Linked DNA regions of Saccharomyces cerevisiae S288C. The main gene of each other region encodes a partner of the protein of the gene in region 2 in a complex. Each region holds a gene or a part of one and is shown on either strand. Other genes may lie near its edges.

Region 1 (16,103 bases), on a different chromosome or scaffold from region 2:
GTCCACGAATAATAATGTCAATAGCAACAACAGCAATAATAACAGTAACCATGATATACTGAATTTTAATGATAACTATACTACCATTCTGCAACATTTGGCAAACGACCATCCTAATATACTGAGGGAGAAAGGAGGATCACAACAACAACAGCATCAGCAGCAGCAACAACAGCAACAACAGCAGCAACAACAGCAGCAACAACAGAGCCTGGATACCCTTTTGCACCATTATCAAAGTTTACTCTCCAAGAGTGATAATGCAATAGCCTTTGATGACAATGTTAGTAACAGCGCAGATCATAATGGCAGTAATAGCAACAATAATAACAACAATAATGACATATCTAGTCCCGGTAATCTGATGGGATCTTGCAATCAATGTAGATTAAAGAAAACAAAGTGCAACTATTTTCCCGACCTAGGCAACTGTCTCGAATGTGAAACGTCAAGAACTAAATGCACCTTCAGTATTGCTCCAAATTATTTGAAAAGAACGTCCTCTGGGGCAAACAATAACATGCCAACCTCTTCAAACTCCAAACGAATGAAAAATTTTGAAGACTATTCGAATCGCTTACCCAGTAGCATGCTCTATAGACATCAACAGCAGCAGCAACAGCAACAGCAGCAACAGCGTATACAATACCCCAGATCCTCTTTTTTCGTCGGTCCGGCCTCAGTTTTCGATTTGAACTTGACCAAGCATGTAAGACTAGATAATGTTGACCAAATACAGCTATCAAAAACTTTATCATTAAGAAAGGTGTCTCCTACCGCACAGTTTATTCTTCAGGACGATTTTGACACGACCCTTCATAGTAAGCAAGAATACGAAGTTGATTTGGTCGAAAATCTGGTACATCCGCACGGTCACCTTTTAGTAGAGATTTTCTTCAAATTGATTCATCCTTTTCTTCCAATTTTACACGAACGTGTATTTTTGGAAAAGTATTCTAGATCTTATAGAGAACTCACTGCGCCTTTACTGGCATCCATTTACTCACTGGCATTACAATATTGGGATTTTCATCCTGCACTTTTGGGGTTCCCTAAACCCGATGTAACTGCTCAACTAAACAATATCGCATTGGAAACATTTTATGCTCGAGTTGGAAGGCCAAAATTGAGCATTATACAAACAGGCCTTTTGATTTTGCAATGCCGTAGTGAATGTCATAACAACTGGGTCCTCTGCTCCAGCGTAGTGGCCCTTGCAGAGGAATTGGGGCTCGGGGTTGAATGTAATGATTGGAAACTTCCCAAATGGGAAAAAGATTTGAGAAAGAGATTAGCGTGGGCAGTTTGGTTGATGGATAAATGGTGTGCATTAAACGAAGGTAGACAATCCCATTTAATTTTAGGTAGGAACTGGATGATCAAGCTATTAAACTTTGATGATTTTCCTCTGAATTCGCCCACTATTTTAAATTCCTTGCAAAATGACCAGTCGGGGTCTTCACCCTCGTCATCAAATGATGTGAAAAACCATCAGATAGCATTTGGTAACTTGCCCATATTTAACATAAACCCCACTTTAGAAGATTTCAAGAATGGAACGCTTATGTTTCAACAAATGGTTTCCTTGAGTATAATTCTTGGGGAAATCATGGACACATTTTACACTCAGGGATCCATGACAATAAACAAAAGCATTGAACAGGTATTGAAACTGGCAAAGCCGTTGCAACTGAAATTAAGAGAATGGTACCATTCCCTACCCAAGAATTTGTCAATGAGTTATGCCACGCCACAAAAATTGAACTCAAATTCAACTTTAACTCTAGCTTATTTTGCCACGGAAATTACGTTACATAGGAAAATTATCTGTGCCTTGAATCCTCAAACTCCAAAGGAACTGGTTCAAGTATGCAGGACTGCTGCAAGAACCAGGCTTGTAGCAGCAATTGAATTTATAAGAGATCTAAAAAACGAACATATTAATGCTTTTTGGTATAACTGCTCAACTGGAAATCTGATGCTAATTGGAACATTTGCTGCCCTGCTGTATGTGACTTCAGCTACGAAGGAAGAGGCTATGATTTTCAGAGATTATGTTAGAAATTATACCTGGGTATTGAAGATAGGTTCCAAATACTTTGATAAACTATCGAATGCTTTGAATAATATGCATTTACTATTTGCACAAATTCCTGGTCTTCTGACCGATGAACCGGTGGTCGTGAGCCCTAACTCTAACATCAATTCCGTTAACCCACAAAGGTCAGGTGTACAATCGCAAATCCCAATACAATTTAACGTGGGATCACCTGCCATGACCGAGCAAGGATCTCCTTTAAACCAGTGGAAGAATTTGCCCCAGGAAATCTTGCAACAACTAAACTCCTTTCCCAACGGTACGACCAGTACAACAACGCCAGTAAACCCCACTTCCAGACAAACACAACTAGAATCGCAGGGAAGTCCAGCCATAAATAGTGCTAATAATAATAGCAACAACACGCCTTTACCATTTGCGCCAAATAAGTCTTCTAAAAAAACTTCACAATCTTCACCAAATGTTACGCCCTCTCATATGAGCAGACACCCCCCCTCTAATACATCTTCACCAAGAGTCAATTCCAGCACAAATGTCAACTCTAATACACAAATGAATGCTTCTCCCTTGACCTCAATTAACGAAACCAGACAAGAGTCAGGTGACGCTGCAGATGAAAAAACAGCAGGAAGAGAAAGAACCGCCAACGAGGAATCATCAACGGAACTCAAGGACGATAATCCAAACTCGAACCAGGAAACAAGCGCAACTGGTAACCAAACTATAAAAATGAATGATGATAAAAATGTAACAATTAACACAAGGGAAACCCCTCTGTAATATAAATAATAGCACATAAGTAAAAATGGAATACGGTAATAACTATATAGAAATATCTTCTGCAGGACCAAGGTTACTGAGTGGTGAATGTAAAATTATTTATTCGCTTGCGTTATATTTACATGTGGTATATCCGGATGCATAGAGCCTACTATAGAAATTTTGGGATTTTATCATGTTCTTTGGCGATTTCATTCAAATCACCTGGTTGGTTCATCATCATATGGACATCACCACTTAGGTAAACCTTTTCATCTTCTTTTTTCGACTTTTCTAAATCTTTTAGAACATTCAAATCAGTGACAATCCCTTCTTTGTTCTTAACGCCAGCATCTGGAGTTTTTTCGATTACTTCTTTTTTTGCCTCGTCTATTATACTTTGCCAGATCTCTTCCAATGACTCTTCCTTAGGAACCACAATATCAGTCTCATCTTCCTTCATCCCAGTTGCGTTCTTGCCGACGATTCCTAAACGCAAATTCACAAGTTTCAATTCATCATCTGCGTCGAAGTCTACCTTTCCATTATTATCATGAACCCTCCGTATCAGCTCTTTCAATTTATCAAGTTTTAGCTTATATTTCCTTTCCATATCAATAATGTTCCTTTTCTCGGCTATTACTGCGTTTAATATCGACCCAAATATCATTACCAAAAGTAAAGGTTTGATCATTGTTTTATCAAATCTTGACTTTCTCTTAATGCCCGCATTTGCTGATGCAACAGTTCTAGCGGTTATCTTTATGGGAGCAAGGCTCCTTAAAAATAGACCATTTCTTAACACTTGTCTTGCCATAAACATTTTTCCTTACACCTTTTACGTATGACTTGTCTTTCCTTGTTGTTACTTTTTCCCTGCTCATTATATCACATAAGATGTAAATTAGAGGATGCGTAAAATAGTTCAACTGTGCTACGCCACATCAGAATACCGACAACCATAAACAGCGGCGAAGAGAAGACAAAGCAATGGCAAGAGCGTTGAGGGATATATCATTATTCAATGATATAAGAAAGGATCAAAATTCGGCAGGAGCCAAGCATGAGAGATATAACATGAGAGATCTCCGAAGTAAGAAGAACCAGCATGTAAATGGCATAGATGATTATGAAGATGATTCGCTTGACAGATTTATAAGAAGGAAGAAATCCAGAGTTGTGAAATACATTCCATCATTGTCAGCGTATAATGTGTTCAATGAATTTCCTTACTATCCTACGTCAGCCAGTCAGTTACTAGACGGCAAATTAGACGAATTTCTAATGCTGTCAGAACAATACAAAAGTAGATTACCCAAAATACGCAAGCTAGGATGGAATAGATTCAAACCAATAGGCATTAATAAAACTATGTACGAATTAGAAATGCTAAGGTCTCGAGCACGAGCTCAAAACGCGGAAGGGAACAATGAGGAAGACTTCAGGCAGCACGATTCTAGAGAAGAGGATCCAAGAAACAATGGCTCTATAGGACGCGTGATACTGCCTCATATTCTACAGGAAAATGAAGAATATGATACTGGTGAGGGTGTTACAGGATTGCATAGCATGCCAAATGACAGTATGGCCATACTTGCGAATAACAGTGCTAATAATTCGCAAAATGAGGAAGTATCAGAGGAGGATGAAATATCATACGATTATGATGCAGAGTTCGATCATGTTGTAGATGAGGATGATAATGAGGAGGGAGAAGTGCCGGGGGAAGGTGTGGAAGGTATAGAAGTTCAGAGAGAGAGAATTGTGCCGGATGACTTATTAATGAGACCCACTTCACTGTCACGCTCCCTACAACAGTTTGTGGAAGAGGCTCATCATTTAGATAGAAACCCATATGATATTGACAGTGATAACGACGGAGAAGATTCAAAGGTAGAACTGGACATGAATCCGGATTTTGAAGATGACGTGGGAAGAGAGCATGATTATAATAGCGAATACAGCCAAGAGCCGACTTCTTATGGTGGGATTACACCTGATCTAGCGAGTAATTGGAGGAATTGGACTAGGGAGAGGATAACTAGTTTAGATGAATTAATGGAGAGACGAGCCAGGCAGCAACGAGGTCAAGATTAGAAAAATGCTCTCCTCAGCACCAAAATTCATCTATCTATTAAGATGTATACATACACAAGTGCACCAAAAGTGCTTAGTGGTAGTTATATTTGCTGATTATATCTAAGTTATCTATTTACTTTCTCGGATTCAAAATTAACCATGTTGGGCAAAGCAGTGGATTGTAAGGGAAATTGATCCACTTTACTAGTTTGCAGGTGGATAGCGGGGATGACCCACTTACCACAACTGCACCTAGATCCTTTCCAGTTGTAACCGCCAACTTTACTTGAACAGCCTGGACATGAAAACTTCCCTTCTAACTCTTGCTTGCCTTGTAGTTCAGGTTGCATCCATTTTAAAGGTTCGATGAAAAAATGAGAGCAATTTGCTTGTGACTCTTGAATATCAATAATACGATGGGAGTTGGCGGCCCTCTTGATGAAGTGTCCCTCTGATGATTCCTTACTTGGTGGGTCATGCGCGATGAAAGATGTAGATAACGCCAATTTGGTTCTGCACTTCTTACATCTCACTGCGGTGACCTTGCTCTTCTCAGCTTCAGTTAATTTATCCAAGTCTTGCGACGACTCCGAATCTTTAAACATTCCAGAATTGGAGACCAATTCGCTGCCCGATGGATCTAACTTGATAGATTGCTTCAGCTTCCACTGCTTATAGGCTGGGTTGTCGAAATCGACAAAATCTCCACCCATTTTCTCAAAGAGATGTAATTGTTCCATGAAATTCTCGTTTGGCTCAACACTCGGTTTCTTCCTCTTGACAGCGTGCATAGCCATTGATAGTGACAATCCATAACGATACATTAGGTAGGCTACTATGAAGGTTACAGATCTCGAGAGTCCTGCTTGACAATGAGCAAAAACAGCACCACGTTGTGGTTTCTTCTTGAAATCTACTAATCTGGGCGAATACTCAACTTCATTGGGGAACAAGCATTGATCAATGAATCGGTTCGTTTCATCGAAGTATTGCAGCACATCAGTCACATCATCATCATCGATGGGTATGTTTTTTAGCGTGTAACCTTTCCTTATTAGATACTCTGGAATGACCTGGAATTTGATAACAGAAAGAATATGAGTAATGTTAAATTCTGCACCCAATGGTCTGTGGTCAATAATTGGACGGATTCCGCCAAGATATATGCCTCCTAATATCCTGGTAACTTCCTCGTCTACTGAGTTTGCATTTCCAGCCATCTTCCCTGTAATTTCTTGCTGCTTTTACTGCTTTCTCTGCGTTATACCTGTATTAGATGCATTCGATGAGCTGAGGTATAATTTTTTTTTTCAGTTAGATTTCTTTTTTTTAGCGCTAAGAAAATTTCAAAATTGCAGCCGTGGAGACCCAGATGGATATATTGTAGATCATTAAAAGTTGTGTCATCTCAAACTAAGAGTGGTTAATATATGTATGTGTGTAAATAACTTTTTATAAATTTGTTTCTTTTATTTCTATAGAATTTCTTTAATAAAAATTTGCAACTTTAGTTTAACGTCTAGAATCAAGCAAAGTTTGACCCAATGGTGTTTTCGAGACTCCGTTGGCATTCGTATATACCACCTGGCCTCTTAATATGGTTTTCAAAACTGTGCCCTTGACCGTCATCCCGTTGTAGGCAGTCAATTTGTTTTTGAAGTAGACACTTGAATTACTTATTTTATGTTTACTTGCAGTATCAAATACCACCAAATCAGCATCGTACCCGGGAGCTATAGTGCCTTTTTGGTGAGATAGTCCTACCTGATGGGATGTATTTTTACAGCACCATGTAACGATATCGACCAAAGAGCAGCCTTGGGTAAACATCAATGGCAAACCTAGTCCGACGGAAGCGATTCCTCCCCAAGAATCGAAAAAGTCACCTTTTTGCAAGTTCTTCAACTCAGGGGTGCATGGCGAATGGTCGCTCACTACTGAGCCTATAACACCTTCACGCAAAGCGTCCCATAGGCCTTGGCGATTAGACTCAGAGCGGATGGGTGGACAACATTTAAAGTAGGTGGCTCCGTCTGGGATCTGCTCTGCAGCAATACACAAATAGTGGAAACAAGTCTCTGTTGTGACTGGTAGCCCTGACGCACGTGCCTTTCTGATCAAGGGAATTGCTTTCATTGATGCCAGATGAACTATATGTACAGGAGGAACTGGTCCATTTCTGGCTCTCAAGCATTCGAGAATCAAATTGATGGCGTCTATTTCGAAAGAATCCGGCCTCGAGGACAAAAACGAAGAATATTCACGATGGCTTTGCTCGGGTTGCTGTTGGTCCTCATGTGCCTTGGGCAACTCAGCATGAAACATCATCATGGTATCCTCCTCGGCTAAGACCTTCAAGGCTTCTTCTATATATTCTTTGCCAATTGGAGGGAATTCTTCCACACCAGAATCAAGCAAGAATCCTTTGAACCCGCGAACGCCAGCTTTGACAAGCGGAATTAAGTCTGGCAAGTTGTGTGGTACCAGTCCACCCCAAAACCCAACATCGCACCACATTTGGCCCTCAGCAGCTTCCAATTTAATTCGGAAATTCTCCACATTTGTTGTGGGAGGAATAGCATTTAGCGGCATATCAACCACCGTTGTGACCCCGCCACTAATAGCAGCTTGAGTTCCAGTTTCGAATCCTTCCCAGCTAGTCCTACCGGGCTCGTTCAAGTGAACATGAGAGTCCACAAGTCCAGGCAGAATTGTACATGGAGATACGTTCTCCAGCGTATGTATTTCATATTTGGTTATCTCAGTTTTCTCCATAACCACGGAGCCTTCTAAAACATCCAGAATCGTGCCTGATTCGGTCGAATACACAATAGTCGCAGGTTTATTTGCACCATTGATAATGACATGGTCGGAAGTGATGGCATTGATAGGCATCTTTGTTCTTCGCAGTATTTCACTTTTTTTTTGCCTATACGTTTTTGCGAAATATACACTTTTCTAACCTAATTAAAGATAGCTAAAAGAAAAAGGGGTACCTTCAATTACAAGATACCAGTAGAAACTCATCACTTTTGCGTTACCTCATCATTGTCCCCTTCGATGAGATATGCCTCCTCTATATAGATAATTAAGCACCGCAATTTTGAACCACTTCTCCTGATAAAGTTCCATCAGTCCACCATCAACACATTTGCGCCTATTCGATGATCCGCAGTAAGGGACAATAGAATCGAAACATGCAGTTCCTTTCTTTCCTGCAATTCTCGGGTCTAATGTGGCTCGAGGGTATCTCTTATCGGTATTACTTTCTTATCAATGAAAAATTTCTGCCAGGGAAAATGCGCCCGCTTTTTTTCCGGCCATCCTTACTCGCTGTCGCATACAAAATAGCGCCTCTAATCTAGTTGCGATAAGGAATGTGTATGTGTAATTGAAGATCCAGGATGTTTTCCTTTTCAGGGAGATGAGAAGGAATAATAGGATGGATTGACCGCTTTGCTGTCACGTCGATAAGGTTCCTTTAAAAATTGTGTCCAATGATTAGCATAGAGAGGTAGAGTATCAGAGAAACAAGTTTGTAATCGAGAAACTTGATCTGCTAGTGTTGAGCATAGAAGGCTAGGAAAACATGGGGAAGAAAAAAAAAGTATAAATAATTAGCTTGATGAGTAGTTTGAATATATATGTTACTTTAGTTTCCCTTTTTGACCTTTTATATTCATCTACATCTTGTGATATAAAACATCAACAAAGACGAGAATGGCTAACGACGCTCTAAGTGCTATTTTCAGTAATCCTTCGAGGAAAGGTGTCCAACCCTCCACATCTATTGTGTCATATACAAACAATGAAGATGATATTATAGATGTGGAAAATGGGAAGTTCAACAAGAACAAGAATATCAACACTAATGTGTATGTGGACAACTCCTCAATAGAGGAGAGCGAAGTCGTGCCCTTGCCCGAAACAAAGTCCATCTGGAGTAAAATATACTACGATTTCATTGTGTTAGACAAGACAACTTTGAATGTTTCGTTGAAAGAGTCGTTCTTGTATAACAGAGACTTGAAACCGGTTGAAGAAGAAAGAAGGTGTTGGTCCTGGTTCAATTACTTATATTTCTGGCTGGCAGACTGTTTCAATATTAACACATGGCAAATAGCTGGTACAGGTCTACAACTAGGTCTGAATTGGTGGCAATGTTGGCTTACAGTTTGGATCGGCTACACTTTTGCAGGTATCTTCGTAGTATTGAACTCGAGATTTGGTTCCGCATATCACTTATCTTTCCCTATTACTGTTAGGGCCTCATTTGGTATATTCTTTTCTATGTGGCCGATTATAAATCGTGTCGTGATGGCTATAGTATGGTATGCCGTGCAAGCCTGGTTAGGTGCAACGCCCGTGGCACTGATGCTAAAATCTATTTTTGGCAAGAATCTGGAAGATAGAATCCCAAACCATTTTGGTTCTCCAAATAGCACTACTTTTGAATTCATGTGTTTCTTTATATTTTGGGTGGTCAGTATACCATTTGTCCTAGTGGCTCCTCATAAAATCAGGCATTTATTCACAGTAAAAGCAGCTTTGATCCCCTTCGCAGCCTTTGGATTTTTAATCTGGGCTTTGAAGAAATCGCACGGTAAAATTGAGTTGGGGACGCTGAATGATTATTCACCTCATGGTTCCGAATTTTCATGGATATTCGTTAGATCCCTAATGGCCTGTGTTGCTAACTTTGCCGCTTTGATTATCAACGCCCCTGACTTCGGTAGATTTGCCAAAAATCCTCAAGCGTCTTTGTGGCCACAATTGGTTGCCATCCCATTGTTCTTCGCCATAACATGTTTGATCGGTATCATTGTTACTGCGGCCGGTTATCACTTATATGGGGTTAACTATTGGTCACCACTGGATGTACTTGGTCAATTTTTGGAGACCACTTACACCAGAGGTACTAGGGCTGGTGTGTTCTTGATTTCTTTTGTATTTGCCTTAGCTCAACTGGGTACAAACATTTCTGCCAACTCTCTGGCATGTGGTGCTGATATGACGGCTTTGTTTCCAAGATATATTAATATTAGAAGAGGTTCTTTATTCTGTGTGGCAATGGCTCTATGTATCTGTCCATGGAACTTAATGGCCAGTTCAAGTAAGTTCACCAGCGCTTTGGGTGCTTATGCAATTTTCCTTTCCAGTATTGCTGGTGTCATTTGCGCGGATTATTTCGTAGTAAGAAGAGGATATGTGAAATTAACACATTTATTCCTGGCACAGAAGGGTTCCTTTTACATGTTTGGAAACAAATTTGGTGCCAATTGGAGGGCCTTTGTTGCGTATATTTGCGGTATCGCTCCAAATTTACCAGGTTTTATAGGTGATGTTGGAGCTCCAAAAATTACGGTTTCAGAGGGTGCAATGAGGTTATACTATTTAGGTTATCCGGTAGGTTTCTTTATTAGTGCGGTGATATACCTCATATTATGTTACTTTTTTCCTGTCCCTGGTACTCCCGTAACCAATTTTCTGACAGAGAAAGGATGGTTCCAAAGATGGGCTTATGTTGAGGACTTCGAGCAAGATTGGAAGAATGAGTTACGTAGGGATGACCTCTGCGATGACACAGTCAGTATCTATGATGGCACCGAGGAAAAGATAGTTTACTAAATAAAAATCCCAATTTATTCTCTTACCAGTAGTGATCAGGAGAATTGATAATTTCTTCAAAACACCTTAATATTCGTTCTGTGTATTTTTATGTACCTTTCTTAATCAAATTTATCAGCTTCATACATGCATTCCCGTCTGAATAATGTACTGATGATTAGCTAAACCGTCATCAACCTACCAAACTTGCGCTTGTTTGAGCCTATCAGAACTCCGGATAATTCCGACATCTTATCTTTGACTCGAATTAGCGATAAGATAAAAACACAGGAACCACAATGAAATTCAGCTGGAAGAAAAGTCTAAATTATAGACACATTTTCTGAGATCAAATGCTATAAAGGAATGGAAGTGCATTTTGCTATGATATGGGGAAATTATGAAGCCGATCAAACAATTAATTGTATCTAATCGGTCTCTTCTTTAGAAAAATGAAGTTTTTTAGTTTGGCAGATGAGGCAGAATTTAAGTCAATAATCATTTCAAAAAACAAAGCAGTAGATGTTATAGGATCTAAGTTAGGTGGTCAAGTGGTTTCTTTTTCAGATGAATGGTTTGCTTCTGCTGAAAATTTAATTCAGCCAACTGCTCCTATAAGGGATCCTACCAGATTTGTTCATTCAGGCGCATGGTACGACGGCTGGGAAACACGAAGACATAATGAGATGGAATACGATTGGGTTATCATCAAGATGGGAGTCGCTGCTGCCCATATTATTGGTGGTGAAATTGACACTGCGTTTTTCAATGGTAATCATGCACCATTTGTATCAATAGAGGCGCTCTATGACGAGGGCGAAGAAGGTAATATAGTGGAAGATGACTCGCGTTGGGTTGAGATTGTTGAGAAATTTGAGTGTGGTCCTTCGCAAAGGCATCTTTTCGTTAGAGGCAACGGCCTTACTAAAGAAAGGTTTACTCACATCAAGCTGAAGATGTACCCCGATGGAGGAATCGCCAGATTTAGATTATACGGAAGAGTTGTTCCTCCAGAACTCAAAACGAAGGATCATATAATTGACTTGGCTTATGTTTGCAATGGTGCTGTCGCTTTAAAGTATTCTGACCAACACTTCGGTTCAGTTGATAATTTGCTACTGCCAGGTCGAGGTCATGATATGTCGGACGGCTGGGAAACCAAAAGATCGAGACAACCAGGTCATACTGATTGGGCGGTAATTCAACTGGGCAGGGAGTCTTCTTTCATTGAGAAGATTATTGTTGATACGGCACACTTCAGGGGGAACTTCCCTCAGTTCATTACCGTGGAAGGTTGCTTGAAGGAGTCAGAATCAAGTGAGAACACTGGTGAAGGAACATGGGTAGAGCTAGTTGGTAAGTCAAAGACGGGGCCTGACAAAGAACATGTGTATGAAATACGTAAGAGTATAAGAGTCTCCCATGTCAAATTAACGATTATTCCAGATGGAGGAGTGAAAAGAATAAGAGTTTGGGGGTACTGATAAATACTTAACTACTGTATATTTTAAACCAATGCACTCTTGGCACTTTAAAAGTAAAGGTATAAATGTAGTTAAAAGTTTTTGTTTTGATAATTGAATGTTTTCATTTCGCTATCCCCACGCTACTTTATTTACTTCTTCTTCTTCACGACAAAACATTAAAATTTACACTCTATAAAAAACAATCATATTTCTATTTATTTTTGTGAGTTGACAAATCTTATCATAGTGATTAGAATCTGTAAACCGATCTCAATCGTGTCCAGAAACAGCGTGCCATCCCTTTGGAATGTTTTCGCCAGTTTATTTTGCAAACCCGAGAATCCTGCACAACCTAATATTACAATGTCTGAATCAAGCTTTTTAATATTTTCGCGATATATAATTTCTGCTATCTGCTGGAAATTTTCTGGACTATGTAGGTCGAGGACCTGTAAATCAGTAGATACCGTACCTTTCCATAAATTTTTGTTAACTGTATTCCCTGTCAAGAATTTCGATTCCACAGAGTTATTCAATATTGGAATCCATTCTTTATTTGAAGTAATAATAGAGAACTTCTTTCCAACCAAATTGCAATAATTAATACTACTATCTAATAACCCAACAATAGAAACATCTGCTTTTTCTTTAGCAGCTCTATCCTTTATCTTTGCTACCAAAGGATGATCTGAAAAACAGGCAATTAATATCCCGTTGAATTTCTGAAAGTAATATACCGACTCCTGGTCATCAATTAAGAGGGGAAGACAGGCCTCCATACTTTTAATACTTGTTTCCTGCCCATCAATTTGTGGTGGCGACGTGTCTGGCCCTGTGAAATAACTGATTTTACATGATTCCATTGAAAAAGTCTTTTCAATGGTTTCCCGCAAGGACACCGTCATTGACTTCGAACTATTAGGATTCACAACAAGTATTCTTGTTTCCATCGTTCGATAATTTGCTTAGCTAGTTTTTCTTTGTTCTTTTGATTTTCCTGAGGTAAGAATTAGTAATTCAGTTTCCTTACATATTCTCGCTTCAAAGGCTTAAATATGATCTGGCATGGAGAAAAAATATGAGTTCAATTTGTCATACCTTATCAGGCCTTATCAGCTCAAATTTGATTGGATTATGCGTTAAAACAGCGCCTAAAATTCTTCGAATATTCGTCAGGTTATGTACGTATACATTCTATAATTTACTTAAGTCAACTGGTTTGGCACTTGGCTTAATAATTTCATCATACAATAAAGTGGTCAAGAAGTCGCTAAAGATTTTACCAGTGACTTCAGGCAAAAAATACTTGGCTGCCAAGGCAAACTTGTTCTTTTCACCCAGCGGACTTGCTGAAGCCAATTTTGCAGTCTCTTCATTTAATATCTTAGCGGTCAATTCTGGAGTTACTTTGTCACCGGTATCACTTAAGACAACACCATGTTTAACCCACTGGTACAATTGACAACGTGATACTTCCGCAGTAGCGGCATCTTCCATCAAATGATTAATTGGGACACAACCAGATCCCCTTAACCAAGCCTCCATATATTGTAGGCCAATATCCAAGTTTACTCTGATTCCCTCAGTAGTGACTTGAGCATCTTGAATCTTCGTATTCAATAAATCAGATGATGTAACATGTACATCCGGGACAAAATATATTTGATTTGCTGTACCCATGTTACTGAAAACTTCATTACAAATCGGTGCCAATGCTGGGTGTGCTACCCATGACCCATCATGCCCATTCTTCATTTCTCTAATTTTGTCATTACGAACTTTGTTCATTGCAGCTTCATTAGCCTTTGGATCATCTTTTATGGGGATTTGGGCAGCCATACCACCCATCGCATGGACCCCTCTACGGTGACATGTATTGATCAATCTTTTCACATAAGCATCCATAAAAGGTGAAGTCATAGTCACTAGATCCCTATTTGGCAAAACGTGTTCAGGCAAGTTTCTCAGTTTTTTAATGGTCGAAAATATGTAGTCCCAACGACCACAGTTCAAACCGCTTGAATGTTCTCTTATTTGATAGATAATCTCCTCCATTTGGAAGGCCGCTGGCAAAGTTTCAATCAGAACAGTGGCCCTAATGGTACCGCGGGGCATTCCAATAAAATCTTGTGCAACACAGAATATGTCATTCCATAGTTTTACCTCCATATGGTGCTCCATCTTTGGTAAGTAAAAATAAGGTCCTTTACCAATTTTAACTAACTCTTTAGCGTTATGGTAAAAATATAAACCAAAATCGAAGATGGAAGCACTAATCGGTTCATCATCTATGTAAAGGTGCTTCTCCACCATGTGCCAGCCACGAGGTCTGACAATTAAAGTGGGCAGTCTTGAAATGTCATCCTTCAACCTGTACTCCTTTCTTGGTGTCTTGAAATCGATTTGATTTCTAATGGCATCATAAAGATTAACTTGTCCGTAAATCATGTTCTCCCAAGTTGGAGATGAAGAGTCCTCGAAATCAGTCATATATGTCGTTACTTCAGCATTCAAAGCGTTGACTAACATATTTCTCAATGGTGGCCCAGTAATCTCGCTGGATCTGTTGATCAAACCAGGGGCTGGGATAGCACCTTGCCATGTAGGATCGTTCCTGATTTGTTCGGTTTCCGGCAAGAAATCAAATCGGTATTCACCAGAGTCTAACTTTGATTGTAAATTGCTTCTGTTGGCTAAAAGCTGTTTCCGTGTTGAATTGAAAGTTCTATGCAGCAAAACAATGAACTCTAAGGCATCTTTTGTTAAAATATCAGCTACAGTAGTTTTGGAAGGTTCAAATTGAGGAGTCGTGTCGATGTCTGCGTATAGAGCAGTGTTGTCCAAGCTTATCTTCACCATTGTTCAGTGCTCTTTACCGTGCCTATGACACATACTCTAAGTGATATCAACTGCACAGAAAGTGAAGAATTAAGACTACATGCGTAAATGTCCCCATTTTATACTTATTGCTTCACCAATTGACGAAACTATCCAATCTTTGTGATACTTTCACGATGTACCTTATCCAAGATAAGCCAAAACTTATGAAATTCAATTTATGTGATAAGAAAAGCAAACGCAATTTTCCAAAATCCGCGGTATTCTATCGCACCGCAACTTTCAGCGGAGATTTTATGTCGATAATCGTAAACCTATGAAATTACTAATACATGAACATTTACATATTTACTTCGCCCACAGTCGCAGAATTAGATGATAATACAAACGTCGCCATCGCTGTAGTGTTCTTCCACACAGTCCTTCTCGGGCCTGTCAGGGTCCAGACTTTCGTAGATTAAGACTGAAAAATCCAAATGTTCTTCCTTGCCAAGTACTATCATGGGCGCATGCCAGGTACCTAAGCCATAGGTAACGGCCTGATTACCCAAACATGTAAAAGCCCTCAACGTAGACAAGTCTGGCTTATTTCCAATTTCTTTAGCGACTACTACCAAGTATGCTACTTCCGCTGACGTTCTCCCCATAGGCACAAACGTCTGCGTACTACACGGATGCTTTTCGAGGACTTTGATAGAATGAGAAATCGCCTGATTGGAGCCTTGAGTGAATACTCTATTCAGGTGCGGCTGTGGAAAGCAACGGAATAGGTTCCAATTGGGAACTTTACTGGTAGATTTATTCTCTACCTGGCTTACTTGAAGCAATTTGATCGCTGTTCCCTGGTTTGCACCTTTTTCAAGGTTTTGCATCCTTGAAATCTCTTCATCTGGCGAAATTATCGTCCCATACTCCTCGAAGGACTCTTTCGTCAATGTCTCCGCCACCACGGTCACCATATCTTTGCTTCAAAGATTTTTTGCCCTACAAGATAAGCATCAAGAGCGATTGGATGACAGTTACTGACTTATATATGCGAATGCACATGAATAGACCGCATATGCTTCTTATCAGTCTTACCTCGCTTATCTTTCCCCATTTATTTGCCAATCCATCTTATCTTATCTGGCACTTTGTCTCAGGGTTAGTGTTACAAAAAGGCTAGGACTTATTTCCAAAATTCTACTTTTGAAAATAACCCTAACAATAAAAGCAAGGGCATTCTGATGTTACCCTAGAAATGTCGTATTTCTTTTTATATCGTGGATCATGACAAAAAACTCAACATTTTCAAA
Region 2 (15,859 bases):
CCTCCCTGGAGATAATTCTAGCAATGGCCACTGGAATGAAGAGGAATATATACTAGCATCAAATTCAAATCCCAGTATGGGAACTCCAAAGGAAATACCTCTCTCGAAACCAAGAATTGCGAATTACTTCTCGAAAAAAATAAAATCTTCAATACCAAACCAGAACCTGAGCCGTAACTTTGCTTATATAACAGTTAATGAATCGAACAGGAGTTGCTTAGGGTTTCCAGACGAATTTCCCAACCAAGTCTATATTGCCTCTGATGATGGAACCTTCAGTATATATAGTATTCCGTCAAAACCTGGTGAATGTGTGCTGACTAAAAATAATAAATTTACATAATGCATATGTGCAGTTTTCATAATCTTAATAGATATTGTACGTATTCACGTGTGAATTGCTAAAGAGGGTAGAAATCTTCAAAACAAGCAATTTGAAAATATTTACATAGGCAATGGTACATTCTAGAAACACGAAAAGCCAACAAGATAACTAATTCTCACCAAAACCATCTCCTATACCAAGGCTTCATATGTGTTGATTCATTACTGCCCTTTCCCCTACTAGTATTGTGGGTTTTATCCTGTACAATTAACTCATTTAATTGGTGTTCCAGGATTTCTACCTCTTTCTTTAGCTGACTTTCTCTCTCCTCATGCTCTAGTTTCCACCAAGAGAAGTGAAGCAGTAAATAAACGGAAGATCCCATTAGAATGAACATCCAAAGAGGCCTAATAAATCTTTTTACAGGGATCTCATGTCCTGATTCTTCCTCTTGCGAGAATTTTTTGAGCATATCTAACTCCTTTTTGATATTTAATTTTGTAGTATGCTCATTAATCAAATCGCGTATCAGTTCAGTATCAACACCATCCAAAGAATCCAAATTAGCCAAGTCTTCTAGGCTCTTGATTTCTTTCTTCGGTGACGTTGAAACAGCTCTTCGTTGTTGGTTGAGGAGGCGCCTGTGGTAATAGGCAACGGTTGTTATGGGAAACAATTTAGTTCTACTCAAAGTAATGAGAGCATTAGAGCGTCTTTTTAACATATTGTCTATTATATGCTTTGGTTCCCATTTCCTTTCTCAAAGTTTACAAATATAACAGAGTGCTTAGCGAATACTTTATTTTATGAGTCTTGCCGTTAGTGACCCCACCCAAAATAAGATGCAAACCGGTATACATATTAGACATTTCCCACGTATACAAATATATTAAGTAAATAAGCCTCGTCGTGATGAACTTAAATACATGGTATTGAGAGAGTTATAAACAGGTAGATAGATATCTTAAATAAAAATAAGCAGATAAGTAACAATGTTTAAGAAAACGATGGGGAAGCGTAAATATATGCAAAATTTCCCCCTCAGTCCTTACGTATACCGTATTTGGCACGAAGCTTCCACATTTCCAGTCTTGCCTGTTGCTGTAGGTTCAGGTTAGGATGGGACATTGGACTACTTTCACTATCACTTCTGATTATAGACCCGATGGACATAAATAGCCCAAAGGTACCCGCTGAACCAGCAATGTATTTCCCTAGTGTTCTAACTACACCATCAGGACCTGGGCCTTGAGTTGCGATGGCAAATCCACCAAATAGGATGCCTGTGCAGACACCGACGGTAGTACCCATCATCAACCCCATTTTGAATTTGTCCCAATTCGAAGGCTGCTGTTGCGCATAATTTTGTGGAAGAGGAGGCATTATATCTTAATATTGGACTTGAAGCTGTTGCGCTATTTGTGCTATATGATCTTGTGTGGTGTTCTGTGCTTCCTTCTTATGGAAAAGTAGTGGAGTCTGTTTGGTAATGTTGGTCTTGTTCGGGAGTTTTGAAAAGAAAATAAAAAGTGGTTGGCTCATAATGTTAAGAAAGAATTTCCAGTTTCCGATTGAACACAGCAATCTACAGGTAGACATTGTGAATCATGCTCGAATTACGAAGTTGTAGTAATTTGGTCAATAGTAGTAGGAGACTTGTGCCTCTGGTGACTTATTCCGGACTAAGTGCAATAACATTGCCTAAATCTCGATTTTATTCACAGCCTAGTGCTTTAGAAGTACAGGGCACATCGGATTCTCGAAGCGATAATATTTTAGACGAACTCAAACAAAGGGGTCTAGTGTCCCAGGTCTCACAGCCAGAGAGTTTCCTTCGGACGAAGTTGAACGGTAACGATAAGATCAAATTATACTGCGGGGTGGATCCCACAGCTCAGTCACTTCATTTGGGAAATCTAGTTCCACTAATGGTTTTATTACACTTTTACGTAAAAGGTCACGACATTGTCACTGTGATAGGTGGAGCTACAGGGAAAGTTGGGGACCCAAGTGGTAGGAAAACAGAAAGAGACGTTATGGAGAACGATATTAGGCAAAGCAATGTGGCATCCATCTCGCAGCAATTACAAAGGTTTTTCAAAAATGGCCTAGAATATTACAGAAACCGATGTGCTCTCACTGAAGATGTACCTTCCGGAAAATATACACCAAGGAATAATTTCAACTGGTGGAAAGACATCAAAATGTTGGATTTCTTAGCTGATTTTGGTAGGCACATTCGGGTACAATCTATGTTGGCGAGGGATTCAATTTCTTCGAGGCTTCAAACCAAAAATGGTCTGGGATTTAACGAATTTACTTACCAAGTTTTACAAGCGTACGATTTTTACCATTTGTATAAGGAAGAGAATGTGACTATACAAGTAGGTGGTAACGACCAATGGGGAAATATAACAGCCGGTATCGATCTCATCAATAGGATACAGCCTATAAAGAATAAGGGTTTGCCATTTGGTATCACTGTGCCCTTGTTGACGACGGCTACAGGAGAGAAATTTGGGAAAAGTGCAGGCAATGCTGTTTTTATTGACCCCTCAATCAATACGGCGTATGATGTTTACCAGTTCTTTTATAATACTTTGGATGCTGATGTACCCAAGTTCTTGAAGATCTTTACGTTTTTAAACTCAAGTGAAATCAAAAAAATTGTGGAAACGCATATCAAATCACCCAGTCTACGTTATGGCCAAACTTTATTGGCTAAAGAAGTCACAGATATGTTATATGGAGTTGGCTCCGGATCGGATTCAGAAGCGCTTTCTAATATTATTTTTGGACGTTATGACGGAACTTTATCTGCTGCGAAGTTAGTTGATCTATGTAAAAAAGCCAGAATTTTGCAGTATGCTGATAGAGAGATTGACTTAATAAAGTTAATTTGTAAACTAGTAAATTGTTCAGTATCAGAAGCCAGAAGAAAACTTTCCCAGGGAAGCGTGTATCTGCATCATTCAAAATCTAAAGTAAACGAAAATATTTCTAACTTGGCTCCTTTCCTGATAGATGATCGAGTACTGATCTTGAGGATAGGAAAGCAGAAGTGTTTTATAATAGAAATGCGTTAAAAAAAAGGGAGGTATATAAAGTACATGTATAAAATAGGCATGCGTGAGGTGATATTATATCATTTTATGCACTGACTTGTAAATAAGATTATAAACGATTATTCATCTTTACTACTTGCGAACATTTCACTGTCACACCAGGCTATGAGGGCCCACAGCCAGAGAGTCGCAGGGCATAGCAGTAATACACACCAGTAGTGCAGGAAAGAGTCATTGTTGCGTAACCAGTAAAATGTAGCAAGACTAATTAGGAGTACCGAGTAAGTAAACCCTAAAACCAAAAAGCCTTGGTCACGTGGTCTCATGCGCTTATAAATTCTCAATCATGTAATTGAAACAGTCCTGTTGCCTAGTTTCAACTGTTCTATGCTTCTTGATGTTTTCGAAACTTTGCGTAGTGTAATCTTCCTTGTATTGTAGCGAAGAAAAAAGGATGCGTTGGGAACAGATATAGAAGACGTAAAACAACCTGAAGAAGGTAACAGGTGGAGTAGCAATGGGAGAGGTATACGAAAAAAATAACATAGATTTTGATTCAATAGCCAAAATGTTGTTAATTAAGTATAAGGATTTCATACTGTCTAAATTCAAGAAAGCTGCACCTGTAGAGAATATAAGGTTTCAGAATTTAGTCCATACAAATCAATTCGCACAAGGAGTCCTAGGTCAGAGTCAACATCTCTGTACAGTCTATGACAATCCTTCATGGCATTCTATAGTCCTGGAGACATTGGATCTGGATCTAATATATAAAAATGTTGATAAGGAATTTGCCAAAGATGGGCATGCAGAGGGGGAAAATATATACACGGATTATCTAGTAAAGGAGCTGCTTCGCTACTTCAAACAAGATTTTTTCAAATGGTGCAATAAACCAGATTGTAATCATTGTGGCCAGAACACTTCAGAAAATATGACACCTCTGGGCAGTCAAGGGCCCAATGGAGAGGAATCTAAATTCAATTGCGGAACTGTTGAGATCTATAAATGCAACCGATGCGGAAATATCACTAGATTTCCTCGTTATAACGATCCAATTAAGTTGCTGGAAACTAGAAAGGGAAGATGCGGTGAATGGTGCAATTTATTTACTTTGATTTTGAAGTCGTTTGGGTTAGATGTTCGCTACGTCTGGAATAGAGAAGATCATGTTTGGTGTGAATATTTTTCAAATTTTTTGAATAGGTGGGTTCATGTCGACTCCTGTGAGCAATCATTCGACCAACCATATATCTATTCAATTAACTGGAACAAGAAAATGAGTTACTGTATTGCGTTCGGTAAAGATGGCGTTGTTGACGTTAGTAAACGCTATATCCTCCAAAACGAGCTGCCCAGAGATCAAATCAAGGAAGAAGATTTAAAATTCCTTTGTCAATTTATAACGAAGAGGTTGAGGTATTCGTTAAATGATGACGAGATATACCAACTTGCATGTCGCGATGAGCAGGAACAGATAGAGCTGATTAGAGGAAAGACACAAGAAACGAAATCCGAAAGCGTCAGTGCCGCTTCGAAATCATCTAATCGTGGTAGAGAAAGTGGATCGGCGGATTGGAAAGCACAGCGTGGGGAGGATGGTAAATAGAGAAATAAAAGAACAGATTATTATGTGTAAGGAATTTTATCTAAGAACATATTTATAAAACTAACTCATCAAAGCTGCCCAAGAACTCGGCAGCTTGCTTTGTTAACCAGGAATTACTTTCATTGTCGAGATAAGCCAAATGTCCACCCAAGTCAGTCTCGCATAACAACACACAAGGATTTTCTCTAGCTTGTTTGTACGGAATTACGTTTTCACCTGTAACTGGATCATCCGTTGCGTTGATTATTAAAGTTGGGATTTTGATATTAGGCAATCTATTTATCGAACTGGCCTTTCTATAATATGTTAACCCGTCCGGCAGGCCCATCGATGGGGCAGTGAAAAGATTATCGAATTCTAATATGTCTGTAAATTTTTCAGCCTTTTCCAAATTTTCTCTGGTATACGTATAAAAGACTGGTTTCTCAACTGTCGGTTTGTGCGAAACCTCAAAATTCTCTGGTACCTGCAACTCATTCATATTAACCTTGACAGTCCTTGTTAGAAATTGTGTTAAAGTTCTAGAAAAAATATGGTTGGACCACCAATCATGAGCCAACTTGTCCCAAGTGTGTACGAAATCCCATGGGTTTGAGAGAGCGACTGCAGCATTTAATGGACAGTTATCTCCTTCTTCACCTAAGTAGTTCGTTAGCATGGCTGCTCCAAATGATGTTCCGACTGCATATATTTTTCTTTGCGGAAATAGAGCTTTTTGGTGGTTCAAAAATTCTCTCACATCACCTGTGTGTAATGCGGTAAAGATTCTACGGGTGGTGACTTTAGATCTTGAGCAACCTCTAGCATTAAGGACTACCACTTGGAATTTACCGTCACCGACTTTTGATAGATCTTCAGATAATGCCCTGATGAGAGGCTCATGGCTTCCCCCTGCAAGACCATGAAGTACTACCACTAAAGGGTAAGAATAACCCTTAGAATGACATTTTTCAAGTTCCTCAGAGGATAGATATCTAGTTCTCGGGTGAAGACGAGGCCAACCCTTTGGATGGGTGGCCTTTTCATCGTTCGAAAATTGTTTCTCGTTAAAACTAGCCTTTTCAGCATTTAATGAATATGTTTGCTCCCATTCAGGCATAACCCAATCTGCAGTGCAGACCCCTCCATCAGAAAATTTTATAATCTCTCTTCCATAAAATACCTGAAATTTTTTGGAAAAATCACCGGCTGACAAATAAAGGGTCTGTAAGTAACCTGTGAAAAGCAAGCTGTTTAACCTAAAATTTGCACCATCTTTGAGTGTAGGCACGTGTTTGGTTACGAATTCATGAAGAGGAATTTGGCGCTTAGAATCTCTGAAAGCCAAAGACTTGGTTCCTTTCTCTCCCAGTACATGTTTGACGGTGCCGTTATAGCCCCAATGGCTAGGAGTGACAGTTGGATAGTAACCCGAGCGAAACATTAAAATGACAAATATGAAAATACTTGATATCTTGATCTTTTTGCTAATCTTCAAAAATACCGAAAACTAAGTAGGCAACCAGATGCAGAACCCTTCTTATATAATCGATTCCTGTAAGCAAGTGTCAGCAAATAGCTTCTATATAGAGACCTTTCGGTGAAAGTATATTAAAGCCGGCCGGAAATTGAGTAATAATAACCGCTAATTATGCGGTGTGTGGATTCAGATTTTTGCCAGGAGCGATAACCTTCAAATCTAAAACTACTCACTATAAGCGATGAAGCAACCAGATGGTAGCGCTTTGGTGCCGGTTCTCTTGAAGGTTTGTACATGTGCGAGTTCATGAGGTTACAATATAGAAGGTTTATACAGTAGAGCTATACAGGATAATGGAAGTTCAGTTTTGTTCGGCTTTTTCATTGATGGCTTTCTTCTTATTGCTTTCTCTCTTGGCTTGTTTCTTCTTCATTCTTTTCAGTTTCTTTTTGTAACTATAAGTATCCTTCTCACCAAAACCGTAAAGTGGCTTAAAACTCTCTAGTACACCGCAATCTTCGAACAGGTTGGGAAAGATCCAGAACCCACCAACATCTTTGTAGACAATTAATGACAAAACATATAATATCAATCTCAGGATAGCGACAGCAAAGAAGCCTGCTAAGATGCCGAAGGCACCCAGAGACACATAATAGGAGCCGCGTCTCATGGAGCGCGGCCACAATGGGTAGCATACGAGCGCCAATATGATGGACACGACACCAATGACGATCAAGTAATCCATGTAGGTTCTAGGGTTATAGTTCCAAACAAAGTATTCATCGGCTTCCAATTGTGCTTTATTCGAAACAATCAAGTGCGGAAAGTCCTTGCTTGGCTTCAATCCATGCTCTTTGCATTCTTGACTATGCAATTTTTTCACTGGGATCACCATTTGTGCCTTTATAAGTTGAATAAAGATTTCACGTGACTTAAGCTGGTCTTCGATCTTGTTAGAAGGTATAGTTGGATATATCTCTGGCTGTCTTGCAGATTTGTTGGCATACTCCTCAGAATGCAGTGCCCTAACAAATCTCTTGTAACGGAAGAAGTCTGTCTGCTTGGCCTGGAATAAACCCTGCCTTTGCTTCAACTCCTTATGGTTGCGTAAAAGAGTAGCAATGGCTGTAGCAGATCCGCCATTGACACTAGCACCTGCATTGCTACCTGGACCTACGGCTGACATGTTCTCCTGTGTTTGCTCGGCTACCATACTGCATTCAACTGCAATTATAAAAGCCCACTCTTCTCCCTCTTGATTTGTATGCCAGTATTGGGAAAACGACACGTCTATTCCGTCGCACACGATCTTCACTTTCTTTTTTTTTTTCAACTGAACGAAAAGTTTTTTCCGCAGCTCATCGCAAAGAAAAATTTTCACCTATGTACTACCTCATCTAATACAATATAAAGAATACACTTCAGATTTAGGAGTTGCAGCGTTTATAAAAAAGTAAGTGTACCCTCCAAAAGCAAACACATCTCCCTCCTATACCGAAGATGCAACTTTCATGGAAGGATATCCCTACTGTCGCTCCAGCAAATGATTTGCTGGATATTGTCTTGAACAGAACCCAGAGAAAGACACCAACTGTGATCAGACCTGGTTTCAAGATTACAAGAATCAGAGCGTTCTATATGCGTAAAGTTAAATACACAGGTGAAGGTTTCGTGGAAAAATTTGAGGACATTTTAAAGGGTTTTCCTAACATCAATGACGTGCATCCTTTCCATAGAGATTTGATGGACACCCTATACGAAAAGAATCATTACAAGATATCTTTGGCAGCTATATCTCGTGCGAAGTCCCTTGTGGAACAAGTCGCCAGAGATTATGTCAGATTGCTAAAATTCGGTCAATCTTTATTTCAATGTAAACAATTGAAAAGGGCCGCTTTAGGTAGAATGGCAACTATAGTCAAGAAATTGAGGGACCCATTGGCCTATTTGGAACAAGTCAGACAGCACATTGGTAGATTACCATCGATCGACCCAAATACCAGAACCTTGCTGATCTGTGGTTATCCAAATGTCGGTAAGTCCTCGTTTTTGAGATGCATTACCAAATCAGACGTCGATGTTCAACCATATGCTTTCACAACCAAGAGTTTATACGTTGGTCATTTTGACTACAAATACTTGAGATTTCAAGCTATTGACACCCCTGGTATCCTAGATAGACCCACTGAAGAAATGAACAACATTGAAATGCAATCGATTTATGCCATTGCCCATTTACGTTCTTGTGTTTTGTACTTCATGGATCTTTCCGAACAATGTGGTTTCACCATCGAAGCTCAAGTTAAACTATTCCACTCCATCAAGCCTCTATTCGCCAACAAGTCTGTCATGGTTGTTATCAACAAAACCGACATTATCAGACCGGAGGATTTAGACGAAGAGCGTGCACAATTACTGGAATCTGTTAAGGAGGTTCCAGGTGTTGAAATCATGACTTCTTCATGCCAACTGGAAGAAAACGTTATGGAAGTTAGAAACAAAGCATGTGAAAAACTATTGGCTTCTAGAATTGAGAATAAGTTGAAATCTCAGTCTAGAATCAACAATGTTCTGAACAAGATTCATGTTGCTCAACCTCAAGCAAGAGATGATGTCAAGAGAACACCATTTATCCCAGAATCTGTCAAGAATTTGAAGAAATACGACCCTGAAGATCCAAACAGGAGAAAGTTGGCCAGAGACATCGAAGCTGAAAATGGTGGTGCTGGTGTCTTCAATGTTAACTTGAAGGACAAGTACCTATTAGAAGATGATGAGTGGAAGAATGACATCATGCCAGAAATCTTGGATGGTAAGAATGTTTATGATTTCTTGGACCCTGAAATCGCTGCTAAACTGCAGGCTCTTGAAGAAGAAGAAGAAAAATTGGAGAACGAAGGGTTCTACAATTCTGACGATGAGGAAGAAATCTACGACGGTTTCGAAGCATCCGAAGTAGATGATATCAAGGAGAAAGCTGCATGGATTAGAAATAGACAAAAGACGATGATTGCTGAAGCAAGAAATAGGAAGTCCTTGAAGAACAAAGCTATCATGCCACGTTCTAAACTAACTAAGTCCTTTGGTAAAATGGAAGAACACATGTCCACTTTGGGCCATGACATGTCAGCCTTACAAGATAAACAGAACCGTGCTGCTCGTAAGAACCGTTATGTTGAAAGAGGTTCTGATGTTGTTTTTGGCGACCAAGATGCTTTGACAGCTTCCACTGAAAACGGTGTCAAGTTGAGACAAACCGATAGACTGTTGGATGGTGTTGCTGATGGCTCCATGAGATCCAAGGCCGACAGGATGGCCAAGATGGAAAGAAGAGAAAGAAATAGACATGCCAAGCAAGGTGAATCTGATAGACACAATGCTGTTTCCTTATCAAAGCATTTATTCAGTGGTAAGCGTGGTGTCGGTAAGACAGATTTCCGTTGATTTCTCTACTTCTTATTCTTTCTTTTGCATGTACTTTAAAAAAAATATGAATATAAAATGTGGATGTACGTACACGACATTCTAATCTTTTTGGGCTGGTAGGATTACCATTTACATTTGATTATCTCTCTCACTATTAGTGGTTTCTTTTTCTTTCTTTCTCACTTTTTCTGTATCTTTTTTTTAAAAAAATTTTATTTAATCTGTATAATAATAATAAACCGATTTAAATTATCCAACAAGCCGACCCCTCCATGTTCTACTATTTTTTTGTATGTCACTGGATGTATACAAATAATTAAGCATGTGGAAAAAGAAGGGGTGGGATAGCGTCAAGATGACACTTCTACTTTTTTGTGACACATCATCATGCAACCTATCGAGTCTCCCACGAGGTTGACAAATAAGAAATTGTTATCGTTTTTGCAGTGTATCGTATAAGGCAACAATAGCGATGTCTCCCATCAATTGACTGATAAATTCCTGCAAACTATCATTTTTTTTTTTTCATCCTTGTGCCGCGTCTGTAGCCGAAAATCTGAGAGTGCATGAATCTTAAAAAACAGAAGACTCATCGCCGTCTTTGGCACATTGGGGTTGTCTTTGACTTCTTTTGCTTATTTTTGCTCACTTTGCTTATTTTACCTATTTAACTAGAGGTTCTAAAAGAATAGCCAACCAGCGTGTAGTTCTTATTTCTAATCCTTGTCTTGTTAAGTTGAAACTTGTGATATTGGCTGAACAAATTCTCCGCATTTAGACAACACACAAATTACAGCTTTCCCCTAGTAACGATTGTTGATTGAGCTCAGACAATACGCGCAATTTAAAAACGTTTTATAGTGTAAGAGAAGACAAGTACAAGAAAAAAATGGTTGCCAATTGGGTACTTGCTCTTACGAGGCAGTTTGACCCCTTCATGTTTATGATGGTCATGGGTGTCGGCATTTCATCGAATATTCTATATAGCTTCCCATATCCTGCAAGGTGGCTAAGAATATGCTCCTACATCATGTTTGCTATCGCTTGCCTTATTTTCATTGCTGTGCAGGCACTACAAATATTACATTTGATTGTCTATATTAAGGAGAAAAGCTTCAGAGAATATTTTAATGACTTTTTCAGAAATATGAAGCACAATTTATTTTGGGGTACTTATCCCATGGGGTTAGTTACAATTATAAATTTCTTAGGAGCACTCTCGAAAGCGAACACGACGAAGAGCCCCACTAATGCCAGAAATTTGATGATATTTGTTTACGTCTTGTGGTGGTATGATCTCGCAGTCTGTCTAGTAATAGCGTGGGGTATCTCGTTTCTCATCTGGCATGACTATTACCCTTTGGAAGGGATTGGGAATTATCCTTCATATAATATCAAAATGGCATCCGAAAACATGAAAAGTGTATTGCTACTGGATATCATTCCGCTGGTTGTCGTCGCTTCAAGTTGTGGAACATTCACAATGTCAGAAATATTCTTCCATGCGTTTAATAGAAACATTCAACTGATAACGTTGGTCATATGTGCCTTAACGTGGCTGCATGCCATTATCTTCGTCTTCATACTGATTGCGATATACTTCTGGAGTCTTTATATTAATAAGATACCACCAATGACACAGGTTTTCACCTTATTCCTGCTTTTGGGCCCGATGGGCCAAGGAAGTTTTGGAGTCTTATTGCTTACAGATAATATAAAAAAATATGCGGGCAAATATTACCCAACAGATAACATTACAAGAGAACAAGAGATATTGACTATTGCAGTTCCATGGTGTTTCAAAATTCTAGGCATGGTTTCTGCTATGGCATTGCTCGCTATGGGCTATTTTTTCACCGTGATTTCTGTCGTTTCAATCCTGTCGTACTACAATAAAAAAGAGATTGAAAACGAGACAGGAAAAGTGAAGAGAGTTTATACCTTCCACAAAGGTTTTTGGGGGATGACTTTCCCGATGGGTACTATGTCTTTAGGAAACGAAGAGTTATATGTGCAGTATAACCAGTACGTTCCCTTATATGCATTTAGAGTCCTAGGAACCATATACGGCGGTGTTTGCGTTTGTTGGTCAATTCTATGCCTTTTATGCACATTGCATGAGTATTCTAAAAAGATGCTGCATGCTGCCCGTAAATCTTCATTATTTTCAGAGTCAGGTACGGAAAAGACGACAGTTTCTCCGTATAACAGCATTGAAAGCGTGGAAGAATCAAACTCGGCTCTAGATTTTACGCGTTTAGCATAAAATTGTTGGTTTTATACGTACATAATTGGCAAGCATTTCATGTAGGAGTCTCAATAGATAGTTTAATTCATTTGCACGGCGCTTTGCTGCTTTTGCTTCTTCACGTTGGTTTTCACTATGCCTGATATTTTTTGACGTCACTTAGTAAGCACGACCCTTGTCAATTTTTCGAGGATTTCGGAGCTTTCCATTTGGAATCTACTATTAAAATCAGTCTAAAAAAGTATAAGAAACACTTCTGGTTTTTCTCATGCGCTTCTCACTCTCAGTATATTTTGCTGCTTTCCTTCATATGTATATATATCTATTTACATATTAGTTTACAGAACTTTATGCTTTCTGCAACCAAACAAACATTTAGAAGTCTACAGATAAGAACTATGTCCACGAACACCAAGCATTACGATTACCTCGTCATCGGGGGTGGCTCAGGGGGTGTTGCTTCCGCAAGAAGAGCTGCATCTTATGGTGCGAAGACATTACTAGTTGAAGCTAAGGCTCTTGGTGGTACCTGTGTTAACGTGGGTTGTGTTCCGAAGAAAGTCATGTGGTATGCTTCTGACCTCGCTACTAGAGTATCCCATGCAAATGAATATGGATTATATCAGAATCTTCCATTAGATAAAGAGCATTTGACTTTTAATTGGCCAGAATTTAAGCAGAAAAGGGATGCTTATGTCCATAGGTTGAACGGTATATACCAGAAGAATTTAGAAAAAGAAAAAGTGGATGTTGTATTTGGATGGGCTAGATTCAATAAGGACGGTAATGTTGAAGTTCAGAAAAGGGATAATACTACTGAAGTTTACTCCGCTAACCATATTTTAGTTGCGACCGGTGGAAAGGCTATTTTCCCCGAAAACATTCCAGGTTTCGAATTAGGTACTGATTCTGATGGGTTCTTTAGATTGGAAGAACAACCTAAGAAAGTTGTTGTTGTTGGCGCTGGTTATATTGGTATTGAGCTAGCAGGTGTGTTCCATGGGCTGGGATCCGAAACGCACTTGGTAATTAGAGGTGAAACTGTCTTGAGAAAATTTGATGAATGCATCCAGAACACTATTACTGACCATTACGTAAAGGAAGGCATCAACGTTCATAAACTATCCAAAATTGTTAAGGTGGAGAAAAATGTAGAAACTGACAAACTGAAAATACATATGAATGACTCAAAGTCCATCGATGACGTTGACGAATTAATTTGGACAATTGGACGTAAATCCCATCTAGGTATGGGTTCAGAAAATGTAGGTATAAAGCTGAACTCTCATGACCAAATAATTGCTGATGAATATCAGAACACCAATGTTCCAAACATTTATTCTCTAGGTGACGTTGTTGGAAAAGTTGAATTGACACCTGTCGCTATTGCAGCGGGCAGAAAGCTGTCTAATAGACTGTTTGGTCCAGAGAAATTCCGTAATGACAAACTAGATTACGAGAACGTCCCCAGCGTAATTTTCTCACATCCTGAAGCCGGTTCCATTGGTATTTCTGAGAAGGAAGCCATTGAAAAGTACGGTAAGGAGAATATAAAGGTCTACAATTCCAAATTTACCGCCATGTACTATGCTATGTTGAGTGAGAAATCACCCACAAGATATAAAATTGTTTGTGCGGGACCAAATGAAAAGGTTGTCGGTCTGCACATTGTTGGTGATTCCTCTGCAGAAATCTTGCAAGGGTTCGGTGTTGCTATAAAGATGGGTGCCACTAAGGCTGATTTCGATAATTGTGTTGCTATTCATCCGACTAGCGCAGAAGAATTGGTTACTATGAGATGAAGCAACGAAACTAGACGTCCAATCTGCTGTTGCTATACTGGACTTTTGTACTCTTGTAAACAATCTTATATAGCATCCTGAAATACGTAGTAATTTTGTCATTTCTGTTCAAGGACAAGGGTTCCTTTTTTTTTCAGACTATTAGCTACTGTGGACTCGCTTGGATATTCAGTTGAGGATACATTCCGACTCTCGTTTACAATACATATGATTATTTTTCTTTTTGTTAATTATATAAAAAATAAAGTTATTTGATTTTAAGCTTAAAAATACACAAAATACAGAATAAGAAAGGAGTTTTTGAACAAAAGAATTTATCTTTTACTGCTTTCTAACTTTAAGCCTTCAAAGAAGAAGCTCTTCTCTTTCTGATTTCAGCCTTCTCAGCCTTTCTTTCAGACAATCTCTTAGCCAACAATTGAGCGTATTCGGCAGCAGCTTCTCTTTGAGCTTGAGCGTTTCTGACCTTCAAAGCTCTTTGGTGTCTCTTTCTTTGCAATCTTTGAGGAGTAACCAATCTTTGGATCTTTGGAGCCTTGGTGTAAGTCTTTTCACCCTTGGTGACTTCTCTTCTGATGACGAAATCACGAACGTCATCTTCCTTGGACAAACCGAAGAACTTTCTGATGTTGTTAGCTCTCTTTGGACCCAATCTCTTTGGAACAGTAGTGTCAGTTAGACCTTCCAATTCTTGCTCACCCTTCTTGACAATGACCAAAGCCAAGACAGCCAAATCTGGACCAACAATGGCACCTCTGACGGACTTTCTCTTTCTTTCACCATCACGTCTTGGTCTGTAACAAGAAACGTTCTTGGTCAACAACAACTTGATTCTAGTTGGCAACAAAACACCTTGCTTCATTGGGAAACCTTGTTTGTCGTTACCACCAGAGATCTTGAAGACGTAACCCTTGAATTCGTCACCAACGGCTTCACCATCGACTTCTTGACCGATTCTCTTGTCGAAGAAAACACGAATACGGTGTTCATCATCAATTTCGAAGGTCTTTTGAGACCCGTTAACTGGGTAAGAAATGTTCAACTATTTTAAATTTTCAACAGGTTATTAAGAAAATTTGTTAGTATACTATTGCAAAATTAATGTTTGAATAGGGTGAAGTTTATTACTCTAGAGAAATTATTAAGTGGAAGATGAAAAAGCTTGTCTTTTATTGACTATACTCCAAGTATATGAACTGCTTCAATTTCACGGTTTGTAGTAACAGTATATGTAAACCCGCTCTGTTTGTTTAAAAATAACGCCACAAACGCATCAATTAGTATATGGTAGTCTTCCTGCTTCTTTCCATAAAAAATTTCTAAAATCTTTACGACGTCTGGTTCTGTTTAGTTCTTTCTCACTTTCAAACTTTCATGCCATTTTTCCACATATAAAGTTCTCTGTTGCCCCTCAATAATAGTATCATAAATCATACCTTCATGATGTATAGTCTGTCTTCACTCTTTTGTCACTTCTCTTAAGCAAATATAAAAATTCAATGACGAATAAGCATTAACCACTTTATCCTTGGTAACACTGTATATGAAATTTCAAAGAAACTGCAGCATCATGATGTTCCTAGACGTCGGTACTGGAATTCCCACCCAGTAGACTTACCTAGGTAGCGGCATTCCTCCAACGCTTACCAGGAGAGATAACTTTCCCGCTAGAATCGATAGAGGAGCGTGGAATTACGCCAATCTTCCAAGTGGGAACGGGCAGAGTGTCCAGTGGCTTCCTGCCTACAGAATGCACGGCCCCAGTGGGATTGGTGCAATCGCGCACGTTCCAACTTTCCGATGCTCCGGCGCGTCGATGACAATTTTACACATGAAAAACGAACTATGTAAAAATAGTTGAAATGTATGGGTTCAATGAGAACTCGAATGTACGGATGTTTTCTCTGAATGAACCTCTTGTCTTC

What was found.
Region 1: INA17 (region 2) and INA22 share a complex: the UniProt entries of both Saccharomyces cerevisiae proteins name them as parts of the inner membrane assembly (INA) complex.

The regions. Positions count from the first base shown.
Region 1 is NC_001141.2:399,851-415,953, forward strand, and holds INA22 (Ina22p), read right to left. Parts: upstream 3,642-16,103; coding exon 2,991-3,641; downstream 1-2,990. Other genes in the region: DAL81 (Dal81p), read left to right, coding at 1-2,839; MND2 (Mnd2p), read left to right, coding at 3,809-4,915; tyrosine protein phosphatase YVH1, read right to left, coding at 5,023-6,117; DAL1 (allantoinase), read right to left, coding at 6,410-7,792; DAL4 (allantoin permease), read left to right, coding at 8,618-10,525; DAL2 (allantoicase), read left to right, coding at 10,957-11,988; DCG1 (Dcg1p), read right to left, coding at 12,186-12,920; malate synthase DAL7, read right to left, coding at 13,165-14,829; DAL3 (ureidoglycolate hydrolase), read right to left, coding at 15,180-15,767. UniProt on the Saccharomyces cerevisiae protein: Component of the INA complex (INAC) that promotes the biogenesis of mitochondrial F(1)F(0)-ATP synthase. INAC facilitates the assembly of the peripheral stalk and promotes the assembly of the catalytic F(1)-domain with the membrane-embedded F(0)-domain.
Region 2 is NC_001148.4:363,020-378,878, forward strand, and holds INA17 (Ina17p), read right to left. Parts: upstream 1,050-15,859; coding exon 501-1,049; downstream 1-500. Other genes in the region: ATG21 (Atg21p), read left to right, coding at 1-343; MGR2 (Mgr2p), read right to left, coding at 1,367-1,708; tyrosine--tRNA ligase MSY1, read left to right, coding at 1,933-3,411; ERI1 (Eri1p), read right to left, coding at 3,510-3,716; PNG1 (peptide-N4-(N-acetyl-beta-glucosaminyl)asparagine amidase), read left to right, coding at 3,908-4,999; EEB1 (medium-chain fatty acid ethyl ester synthase/esterase), read right to left, coding at 5,052-6,422; Sec63 complex subunit SEC62, read right to left, coding at 6,820-7,644; putative GTPase NOG1, read left to right, coding at 7,959-9,902; SSU1 (Ssu1p), read left to right, coding at 10,774-12,150; glutathione-disulfide reductase GLR1, read left to right, coding at 12,483-13,934; and 1 more. UniProt on the Saccharomyces cerevisiae protein: Component of the INA complex (INAC) that promotes the biogenesis of mitochondrial F(1)F(0)-ATP synthase. INAC facilitates the assembly of the peripheral stalk and promotes the assembly of the catalytic F(1)-domain with the membrane-embedded F(0)-domain.